3 linked regions of the Oryctolagus cuniculus genome follow. The protein of the gene in region 2 binds, or shares a complex with, the protein of the main gene of each other region. Links are inferred from orthologs where the notes say so. Each region holds a gene or a part of one and is shown on either strand. Other genes may lie near its edges. The genes, in order: YEATS2, TADA2A and TAF12.

The links.
Region 1: TADA2A (region 2) and YEATS2 share a complex: the UniProt entries of both Homo sapiens proteins name them as parts of the ADA2A-containing complex. The link is inferred for Oryctolagus cuniculus from reciprocal best matches to the Homo sapiens genes TADA2A and YEATS2.
Region 3: TADA2A (region 2) and TAF12 share a complex: the UniProt entries of both Homo sapiens proteins name them as parts of the PCAF complex. The link is inferred for Oryctolagus cuniculus from reciprocal best matches to the Homo sapiens genes TADA2A and TAF12.

Annotation. Positions count from the first base shown.
Region 1 is NC_091435.1:93,304,566-93,308,314, reverse strand, and holds the start of YEATS2 (YEATS domain-containing protein 2), read right to left. Parts: upstream 2,293-3,749; 5' UTR 2,154-2,292; coding exon 2,099-2,153; intron 1-2,098. UniProt on the Homo sapiens protein: Chromatin reader component of the ATAC complex, a complex with histone acetyltransferase activity on histones H3 and H4. YEATS2 specifically recognizes and binds histone H3 crotonylated at 'Lys-27' (H3K27cr).
Region 2 is NC_091448.1:38,154,097-38,157,745, reverse strand, and holds part of TADA2A (transcriptional adapter 2-alpha), read right to left. Parts: intron 3,483-3,649; coding exon 3,325-3,482; intron 760-3,324; coding exon 671-759; intron 1-670. UniProt on the Homo sapiens protein: Component of the ATAC complex, a complex with histone acetyltransferase activity on histones H3 and H4. Required for the function of some acidic activation domains, which activate transcription from a distant site. Binds double-stranded DNA.
Region 3 is NC_091438.1:143,068,544-143,072,192, reverse strand, and holds part of TAF12 (transcription initiation factor TFIID subunit 12), read right to left. Parts: intron 1,600-3,649; 5' UTR 1,587-1,599; coding exon 1,515-1,586; intron 814-1,514; coding exon 562-813; intron 1-561. UniProt on the Homo sapiens protein: The TFIID basal transcription factor complex plays a major role in the initiation of RNA polymerase II (Pol II)-dependent transcription.

The sequences.
Region 1 (3,749 bases), on a different chromosome or scaffold from region 2:
CACATGGGTGGCAGAGGGCCAAGCACTTGGGGCACCTTCTACTGCCCTTCCAGGTACATTAGCAGCAGGCTGGATCAGAAGCAGTGAAGTCTAGATTCAAACTGGTACTCCAAAATGGGACATACCACAATGCAGGCCCTGGCGAACACTTTTTCTAATTTACTGTTTTCACTCTCACATCCCTGTTGAACTACAGTAATCTGCTTTCCACTTCCCACTTCTAGAACTGTGGACAGCATACCAATAACCAAACAATAACCTCCATGTTGTCAATTCCATTTAATACACATCTCAGCCACCAATAAGAGGACTAATTCTCCGTCTTCCAGAAACATACCCCTCTCTTGGCTTCATGACACTATGCTCCTTCTTTTTCTCTTAACTCACTGGCTGTTTCTTGGGTCCCAGGTTCAACCTTCTTCCTCTACCAGACCCAAAAGAATTTCAGTTAATCCTTTTCACTTCTTTCTGCATTCTTTCCATAAGTGATCTTACTAGTCCCATACCTCTAAATGGCATCCATATTTTGATTATTTCTAAAATTTTATCTCTAGCTCTACAATTCCCCATATTCTACACACACACACATCTAACTGCTTCAACATACCCCATAACTAATATGCAACCCAAATTTTCTATTATTTTTATTTATTTGAGAGGGACAGAGTGAGCCTATGGGATGCCCCCTCCTGCCCCCCATCTGCTGGTTCACCCATCAAATGCCTACCAATGGCCCAGGCTAGGCCAAACAGGAAACCAGGAGCCTGAAAGCCAGGATACAGGATCTCAACTCAGGTCTCCCATATGGGTGACTGGGCCCCAATTGCTTGTGCCATCACTGCTACCTCCCACAGTCCACATCAGCAGAAAGCTGATGTCAGGAGCTGGAGCTGGGAATCTAACTCAGGAACCCTGATGTGGGACATAAACATCCTAACTGGCAACTGAACCACTAGGTCAAATGCCCACCCCTGCACCTCAAATTCAACACATCTGAAACAGAAGTCATCATTTTTACCATCTGAAATTTCTCTCACTGGGCCAGCGTTGTGGTGCCACAGGGTTATGCTGCTGCTGTTGACACTGGGATCCCATATCATATCCCAGCTGCTGCGCTTCTAATCCAGCTCCCCCCTATTGATGCAGATGATGGCCCAACTGCTTGAGCCCTGGCCACCCACAGGGGAGCTCAAGATGGAGCTCCTGGTTCCTGGCTTCAGCCTGGCCTAGCCTAGCCTAGGGCCCTGGGGAAGTGGCCCAGTGGATGGAAGAGTTCTCTCTCTCACTCTGCTTTTCAAATAAAAAAAATCTTTAAAAAGTTTGCCTTTTTCTTTCTCATCTCAGTAAATGGTGCATCAGCTGTTCAAAACCAAAATCAAAACAGCAAAGATTCCTCCCTTTCCCTCACCAATTCATCTCCAAGTCTTCTACATTCTACCACCAAAGTATTGTTCAATCCTTTTAATCCTCGTCCACCTCCAATGCCATAGGCCTAGGCCAAAGATACAGCAAACAGCAACTTAAAGGATCTCCGATCTTCCACCCTTGCCTCCTCCTCCACCCAGTCTACCAACGATGCTACCCACCTACCTGTAATCTTCAAAGCCTTCCCAGGAGCACTGAACTACTAACCACTATCTTTGAGAAAGATATCCACAACCAAAAATACACACTCAGTGGCAGTATCTCTAGTCAGGAAAATCAGCGGTACTTTTCCCTCACTTTGCTTGTCTGTATTTTAAATTTTTCTATGATAAACACTTGCTACCTATTAAGGGGAAATGATATTGCTGAAAATATGGACTATCCCATCGCATTTTCTATATGTTACCGAGAAAAGGGAACAGAAAGTGTGGATCCACTCTAATGGTTAAGAAACCTGTTCAGATGCAAACACTCGCAAACATGTATCCTAACTCTACGAACGGCTGGTCAGAGCTGGAGAAATACCAATGGTATTTTTCCGCCTCTACTTCTCATTTTGTAACATAATTACAACCATAACGGGGGTGGGGGGCTGTTATAAAGTCCATCTCTCCGGGGCCCCTCGGCCCTCACCGCCAGCCCAGCACAGCCCCCCAGCCGCGCTCAATCCCACCTGGCCGCGGCGCGGGCGGGGGTGGCGGACGCAGCTCCGAGGCACATTCCAACATTCTTTTGCTAAACCCACAACTTGCTGGGGCCGGGGCCAGATCTTCACATCTGTCTTCAATACCATGGGCAGACCGCCAGGCGGAACGCCCCAAAAGCGCGGGCCACCGCGTCTCCGGGGCCGTCCCCCGCCCCCTCAGAGAGCGCCGGTCCTTTTGAAAGGAGCCCCCTCAGTCCGCGTTCCGGTTCCCGCCTCCGACGCTCCAGACACGCCGCCCCAGCCGGCTCCTCGCGATTCACTGCTCCCGGCAGCCACCAGCTCCCTCCCTGCCCCCTTCCTCCGCCCCGGGCTCGCCGGGTCCGGCCTCCGCAGCCGCGGCCCGCGGGATGGGGGAGGGGCGCGCACGTGCCCGCGCCACCCCCGCCCAGACAATGCCCCGGAGAGCGGGGCGCGCGCCCGACCGGCCCCATCCCGCTCCCGCCAACACTCACCCTTCTGCTGGTTCCCAGCGACGGCGCAGGCCCCGCCCCGCTCCGGGAGCGGGCACAGGGAGGTGAGGGAACAGAAGAAGCCCCGCAACGGCGGCCCGCCACGAGGCCCCGGAGACCCCGCAGCCCGCGGAAGCACACAGCTCGGAGGAGCTCTCCCGGTCCGTTCCGCCCCGCACGTCAGCTGTAGGGGCGGTCCGGGGCGCGCGCGCGAGGGCGGCAGTGGCGGCGCGCGAGCGCGCGCGCGCGGAGGCCCAGGGCGGAGCTCGCAGAAACGTGGGTGGGGCGGGGGCGGGACTTGCGGGGATGGGGGCGGGGCGGCGCTGCCCGGGCTCTGACTCTGGGCTGCGTGGCCCAGCTGCCTGGGGTTGCGGGCGTTGGTTTTGGCAAAGGCACTGTCATTCATCATTTTCCTGCTAAAAAGATGGCGCATCCCAGACCCAGGCTTAATAGAGTGTTCATTCTGCCGGCATTTATGAACTTCCATGGTAATAACAACAGTGACTGATTTTCGTGTGTGCCTTCTCTTGGCAACCTCTGAGGGAGGGATGCAAACAGCTATTACTAACCCGTTTCATAGATACGGAAGCTGAGGCTGGCAATTATGTCCTTTCTAGGTCACAGAGCTAGTTAGTGACAATCCAGGAAGTCGCTGTCCCCCTAAATAACCCTTGAGGCCAGTCTTCTCTTTGCTTGTGCTTACTACCCTACCCAAGACACCACCATGTCTCTGCCCAAGCCTTCAGTCGCCTCCCAGCTGGTCTCCAGGGACTACCTGTTTCGTCCTTCTCCCCCATGCCTTCCAGGCACTGTAAACATTTACCACTAGAGTTTAGTGGTGATTGTAGGGCAAAAACTTTATGAATTTTTTACACTCTATCCATATTATCATATGCTGAAGTATTTGAAGTTTAGGATTTACTCCTGTGTCCCCAATAACAAGCTCAGTGCATTGCACATCGTATGTGCTCAAAAACTCTTTGTCCAATATATGAATTGGAGGGACAAGAACTAACTCCCAAGCCCGGCATGACGGGGCAAAAGAGGAGTTTATATTACGTCACCTCTGGCCTTCTATTAGGGATAAAAATAGATGAACAATATTTGTTCAACAGATTTTGGTTGCATTTCTATTCCGCATTTCAAGCACTATGTTAGGCACTGAGCAA
Region 2 (3,649 bases):
CCCCCTAATGGCTGCCACAGCTGGAGCTGCGCCGATCTGAAGCCAGGAGCCAGGTTCTTCCCGGTCTCCCATGTGGGTGCAGGGACCCAAGCACTTGGGCCATCCTCCACTGCCCTCCCGGCCCACAGCAGAGAGCTGAACTGGAAGAGGAGCAACCGGGACTAGTACCCGGTGCCCCAACCGGGACTAGAACCAGGGGTGCCGGCGCCGCAGGCGGAGGATTAGCCAAGTGAGCCACAGCACTGGCCACATATAAAGTTTATTGGAACACAATATTATCCACACTGCTTATGCACAGTGACAGCAAAGTTTAGTTGCAACGGAAACTAAGACCTGAAAAACCTAAAATATTTACTATCTGGCCTATAATAGGAAAAGTCTGCCAACTCCTAATACAGTACAACCTTGAAACCCGCTAGTATGACGTGAGAAATACTGCAGAAAACTCCATAAATTCAAAGGAACAATGAGCCAGAACCAATACAATTTAAAACTTTTACTGTTCTACTAGTGCAAATGTTTACAAATGAGAAAAAGAACTCAAATGGAAGAAACTGTGTCTTCCTAAGAGCTTGACAAATGAACTGTTTTACACATCTCTTTCAGGTGGTATGGATTCCATAGGCAAGAGCTCCAGCAAACATCAAAAACAAAACCAGGTGTTTCCTACCTCAATGAAATCTGCTCGAGCTGGCATGTATCCTGCCATGTCCCGAGAAAGCAAGGAGTCAAAGGTGGGTCGAGGTGGGTCATCTGCAGCTGGAAGATTCAGAGTTTGTCTCATTGACTAACAGAGTACTGACAGGAAGAAGTGACACAAAACAGTCCTTATTTACACTCTGAAACACTTTTGTATGGACAAAGACAGTATCTGAGAGAATAAATAAATTAAAAAAATAAAAGGAAAAATGAAAAAGATAATAAAGCACTATGGAAACTAGCTGATTCCTCAGACTAGGAAATAGGACTTACGGAACCCTCTGAATAAAAATGGGAAAACTTCCTCTGATTCTACTTTCCTAAAATGAACGGACACAAGATCCTTGTCAGCTTCAGATCCCTTACCCCTTGGTGCCAATCTCAATTTAAGAGCCTCATCAACTGAGAAGCCAAAAAACCCACTTGATCTGGAGGTTGGCTGGAATGGAGTCCCAGCTCTGCCACCCAACAGTACCATGATCTTGCACAAATTATTTAATCCTTCTGAACCTGAATTTTTCCTGTGTAAAACGAAAACACTTGCCCTGGTCATCTCACTGGGCTGTAGCTGGGAACAAATGGCCCAATAGATTTGAGAGGAGTGCTATCCAAGTAGGCAGTATCCTCTGCCTCTGAGCTAGCCAGGTACACAACTAAGTCTATGGAGTCTGAGGAAGGGAAGGGAGACGTGAAGACATTCATATCTCATGACTTGTGCTCTGGGAGTCATTCAGGAAAGATGCACATTTGTAATTCATCATGTTTTGAGATGGTTTATAAAGACCCACTAGTCCCACAGGTCTGTGAGATTAAAAGTCTGACATCATTGCTAAAACCAAGTGAACAAAAATGATAAACTGCTCCTTGAACTTGACACTAAGGCAATTAGTAATCACCCAAGCACTAGACTCTCTAAGCAACTCATTGAAGATGATAAACTCGGGGCTGGCATTGTGGCATAGAGGTTAGAGCCACCGCCTGCAATGCTGGCATCCCAAATGAACGCTGGTTCGAGTCTGGGCTGCTCCACTTCCAATCCAGCTCTCTGCTATTGCCTGGCAAAGCAGTGGAAGACGGCCCAAGTCCTTGGGCACCTGCACCCATGTTGGAAGAAGCTCCTGGCTCCTGGCTTTGGATTAGCACACCATCGGGAGCTGCAGCCATTTGGGGAGTGAACCAGTGGATGGAAGACCTTTCTCTCTCTCTCTCTGCCTCTGCTTCTCTGTAACTCTGCCTTTCAAATAAAATAAATAAATCCTTTTTTTGGACAGGCAGAGTTAGACAGAGAGAGAGAGAGAGACAAAGAGAAAGATCTCCCTTTTTCCGTTGGTTCACCCCGCAAGTGGCCGCTACCTGCGTCAATCCGAAGCCAGGAGCCAGGTGCTTCTTCCTGGTCTCCCATGCAGGTGCAGGGCCCAAGGACTTGGGCCATCCTCCACTGCACTCCTGGACCACAGCAGAGAGCTGGACTGGAAGAGGAGCAACCGGCACAGAACCAGTGCCCCAGGTGGAGGATTAGCCTAGTGAACCATGGCACCGGCAAAATAAATAAATCTTAAAAAAAATAAAAATAAAAAAGATAGGGGCTGGCGTCATGGCGTCGTAGGTTAATCCTTTGCCTGCAACACCAGCATCCCATAGGGGTGCCGGTTCTAATCCTGGCTGCTCCTCTTCTGATCCTGCTCTCTGCTATGTCCTGGGAAAGCCGTAGAAGATGGCCCAAGTCCTTGGGCCCCTGTACCCACGTGGGAGATCCGGAAGAAACTCCTGGCTCCCAACTTTGGATTGGCACAGCTTCAGCCGTTGCAGTCTTTTGGGGAGTGAACCAACGAAGGGAAGACCTTTCTCACTGTCTCTAACTCTCACTATCTGTAACTCTACCTCTCAAATAAATAAATAAAATCTTAAAAAAAAAAAAAAGATAATAAACCCTCCTAAGGGATTGCTAAAGGCTTCTACTCACCACAGCATGGAAAGGTTGGTCCCTTTTTCACATCTCATCTTACAGAAGCAAGCACTAAAATTAATTGCTATGTTCAAGAGACTCAGAGAGGGCCCAACTACACACTGGTTTCGGGTTCCCAGATGTCCAGTAAGAACTCTGACCCCTGAGAGATGTTCCTTCTTTGCCACATTATATACATTTTTTTAGGTTTATTTATTTGAAAGGCAGAATTACAGAGAGGGAGAACAAGTGACAGAGAGAGAGAAATTTTCCATCTATTGGTTCACTCCCCAAATGGCTCCAAAGGTCAGGGATGTGCCAGTCTGAAGGCTGAAGCCAGGAACCAGGAGCTTCTTCCAGGTCTTCTCCCATGTAGGTACAGGGTCCCAGGGACCTGGGTCATTTTTCACCGCTTCCCAGAGACATTGGTAGGGAGCTGGATGAGAAGTGGAGTAGCTGGGACTAGAACTGCTGCCCACATGGGATGACGGCACTACAGACGGCAGCTTAACCCACTGTGCCACAGCACCAGTCCCTCTCTGCCACATTATAACCCTGACTCAAGAGCTCCCATGCCAACTCCCCCTTTATTCCACATACTCTTTAACTGTTCCAATCACTGTTCATACAGGGCCCAGCAATGTGCTAAGCATCTCTTACCAAACCAGGGAGGCACTTACAGTGAAATGGAATGGCCGTGTCAGCAGTTTTTGCCTCCTCTGCTTGTTTCAGGTTTAGCAGGGTAGATGCAAACAGAGGGTTATTGATGAAATGCTTCATATAGTGCTTCTCACACTCTTCCTTTGTCTTGGTGCACATCTGATTGGCAACATCTTGCCTTTAGAAAGGAGAGAAGGAAGCAATACTTTCATTCATACATAACTGTCAAAGTGGTTTGTTCTTGATATTTTAAGTCACAGACATAAGATGTCTGTAATTTGATAACTCCAAACTAATGTAACAAAGATATCCACAGAAGAATGAGACAAATATAAGTCTCATATT
Region 3 (3,649 bases), on a different chromosome or scaffold from region 2:
CTTCCAATTCAGTTTTGCTTGTCTCTTTATTCCCTCCCCTTGAAATGTCCCTTCATCCATTCTACCCACCATACAAAACATAAGTCAAGGGTTTATATCTATTTCTTATGGCTGTGAAGGGCAGAATCAGGATCTTCAGTTCAAAGACAGGAACAGATTTTATAATCACTGAATAAAATTAATAATGGCAGCATCTGGATAAACAAGAATGAATGACTGAAGGCAAAGTTACTTTTATCATAGGAATAAGAAGCCCATTTCTTTTATTTAACAGCTATGTAGCTAACATAAATATTAAAAACACCCGAAAAAGTGTTGTGTTGATATGTATGTATGGATGGATGTATAAGTGCATGTGCACAACCATACATAACACAAAGTAAAAACAGATAAACACTATGTTGGATAAATGATAAAGAATGTTTCAATTTCAGAGGAGGGAAGAGGCCTTTTCAGCTCAGAGGAAGAGGCAGTATCTGAGATGGACATCTCTTAAAGCATTCCCAGTTCCAGTAACAGGTAAGAGGTGCTTACAGAGAACAAAATGGAAGAGGATGATACCTGATTGTTTTCAGGGCTAAGACGACCTCCTGTCCCAGGAGTGCCTGGTATTTTTACCACTGTAGTGCTATTGGCCATGGATCCTTGTGGAGGGGTGCTGGCTGGTTCCGGTTTTATGGATGAGAAATTGGAGAGGTTGATTAGGGCTGAGGGACCAAACTGGTTCATAATCTGCCGAGCTTTGGACTTCAGCTCATAGAGCTTATCAAGATCTTGTTTCTTTTTGGAGCTGTGAGGACCAAGGCCAATCAACTGGAGAAGGAAAACATGAGAATTAGCTCTAGAAGCACATGGAATAAGGATGTTTTGAAAGTAAAATTTTATGAGGTCTGATATTGAGGGTCTTCAGTGTCTCTGGAATACCTACATGTTAGAAATGGAGGAATAAAGACTATTCATTGCTCTCACCTGATATTTAGAAACCATCTCTTCTCCAAAAGCTAAATGAAATAGTCCACAAAATCAAAATAAGGAAGAAAGTAAATGAAATGAGGAATCTTATGAATAAAAACAAACTAAAATAAGCAATACACTTTTGAGGACTTTATAAAAAACAGTAGTTGCTTAAGTATCACATGCATTAAGTACCACATGTATCAACATTAAATGCAAGTAAGTCATGTCACAATCACATACTTAAAACCCAGTCACAGAGTTTAAGAAAACAGATTAGTTTATTTTGGTATTTCAAAACATACTTAAATCTATGTCAAGGTTATACGCAATAAATGCAGCTTTTAGCAACTGTTAAAGTAAATACTTCTTTATCAATATGAGCAACTTCTCTGTAAGTGTTAGAAATCTTTACGTGCATGCAGTAACCCTAGCCTGAAGCAGCCAAGACTCCTATCTTAGAGCCATGTGATCAACTCTGTGGACATCAGCTTGCTATCGCTGGAATCAGAAGCACATTCACAAAGTTCTACCCACAGAGTCCTCAGGAGCTTACTTACAGCTATCTGAGTGTCTAGATCTTTAATTACATCAGCAACAGCTGTGAGCCCGGTGAAATGAGAGGCAGCCATTTTCAAAAGCTACCTGTAAATGAACAACTAGCATCAGGTATCACCTTTGCCATTGAACCATTTCAGCGGCATGGCCTGGCACATCTTCACCAACTAGGACCCAAATAAATGGTGTTCAAACATTACCTTCTTGTTCCTACTGAGTGCCAAGAAAAACATCTCCAACTCATTCAAACCATTTTAAAAATTAATTAATGAAGGCTGGCGCTATGGCTTAGCAGGTAAAGCTACCACCTGTAGCACCGGCATCCCATATGGATGCTGGTTTGAGTCCCAGCTGCTCTACTTCCAATCAAGCTCCCTGCTAATGTGCCTGAGAAAGCAGCATAAGATGGCCCAAGTACGTGGGCCCCTGCACCCACATGTGAGACCCGGAAGGAGCTCCTGGCTCTTGGCTTCAGCCTGGCTCAGCCCTGGCCATCGCGGCCATTTAGGGATTGAACTAGTGGATGGAAAATCTCTTTTTCTGCCTCTGCCTCTTTGTAACTCTGCCTTTCAAATAAGCAAATCTTCAAAAAAGTTAATGATTATAGCATATACAGATTATCTTCCTATCAGATGAATGTTCTACTGTTAAAGATAACATGTTATGTATAGGAGATACTTTTTAAGGCAAAATTGTGTGATTTGAACTTGCAGGAATTATGTCAATAGCTTTCAGAGCATGGCAAAGCTTGGCAACCTGCAAGTCTATCTGTATCTATTCCACTCTAGCCCCTCAGAGTTCCTTGTGATTTCTCGTGAGAAATCATGTTCTTCTGGTTTACTCCTAATAAAGGATACGAACAACAAACTGGCTAAGCAACCTAGGGAAGCAAGACTGACTTGTTAGCCAAAAACCAGCTGATGGGAACAGCAAAGCATCAGGATCATTTTTCTTTTTTTCAACTTTGTATGGCTCATGCCTCTTTGCTCTCTAGTCATTAATATTATTCACGGAAGAGTCGGGATAGAAGATTGTTGATGCGGTAATAGTTGTTCTAATATTATTTTTCCCAGAGCAACTTCTGTGCAAAAACCTTATTAAAGATTACCAGAGGGACCAGCTGTGGTACAGTTGGTTAAGCTGTCACCTGTGATGACAGCATCCCATATGGATGCCAATTTGAGTCCTGGCTGCTCCACTTCCAATCCAACTCCCTGCTAATGAGTCTGGGAAACTAGCAGAAGATGGTCCCAGTGCTTGTGCCCCAGCTACCCATGTGGGAGACCTGGATGTAGTTCCAGACTCCTGGCTTCAGCTTGAATATTGTGGCTACTTGGGAAGTGAACCAGAGGATAGAAGATTCTCTCTCTCTTTTTCCATTTATGTAACTCTAACTTTTAAATAAATAAACTTCAATAAAGAAAAGATTATCAGACTCTATCCTCATCACTCTAGCCTTACACTGAAGAAATTATACCTCTCAAATAACTTTCCCACAATCTTTAAGGGATTTCCCAAACAGTACTGAGTATTGCTCAGAATAAGTGGATTTTTTTTTGCAATGCAGTTTTTTTTTTTAGAAAATAGCTTTTTTATAAAAAATGATAATTTACGTGAAGACACATGGCCTTCTGGCAGAGGAAAGTCAAGGAAGGCTTCACAGAGGAGGGGAGTTTATTTTTTTAGATTTATTTATTTGAAAGGCAGAGTGACAGAGAAGGGAGAGACAGAGAGATCTTCCATCTGCTGGTTCACTATCCAAATTGCCACAACAACAGGCAGGGCTGGGTAGAGCAAAAGCTAGGTACCAGGAGCTCCATTCTGGTGTCCCTCATGGTTTACAGGGTCCCAAGTACTTGGGCCATCTTCTGCTGCCTCTGCAGGCACACTAGCATGAAGCTGAATGGGAAGCAGAGTAGTCAGGACTTGAATAGGCACTTTAATATGGGATGCAGATGTCACCAGTAGTGGCTTAACCCACTGTACCACAACTCTGGCCCCTGTAATAGAAATTTTTGTATAATGGGAATTCCTGTTATTAGACCTCAAGATGAAAAATATGGACTATCTACATAGTACCAAATATGAAAAATCACATAACAAATTAAGAACCTTAAGGAAAAGCTCCAATGGTGGT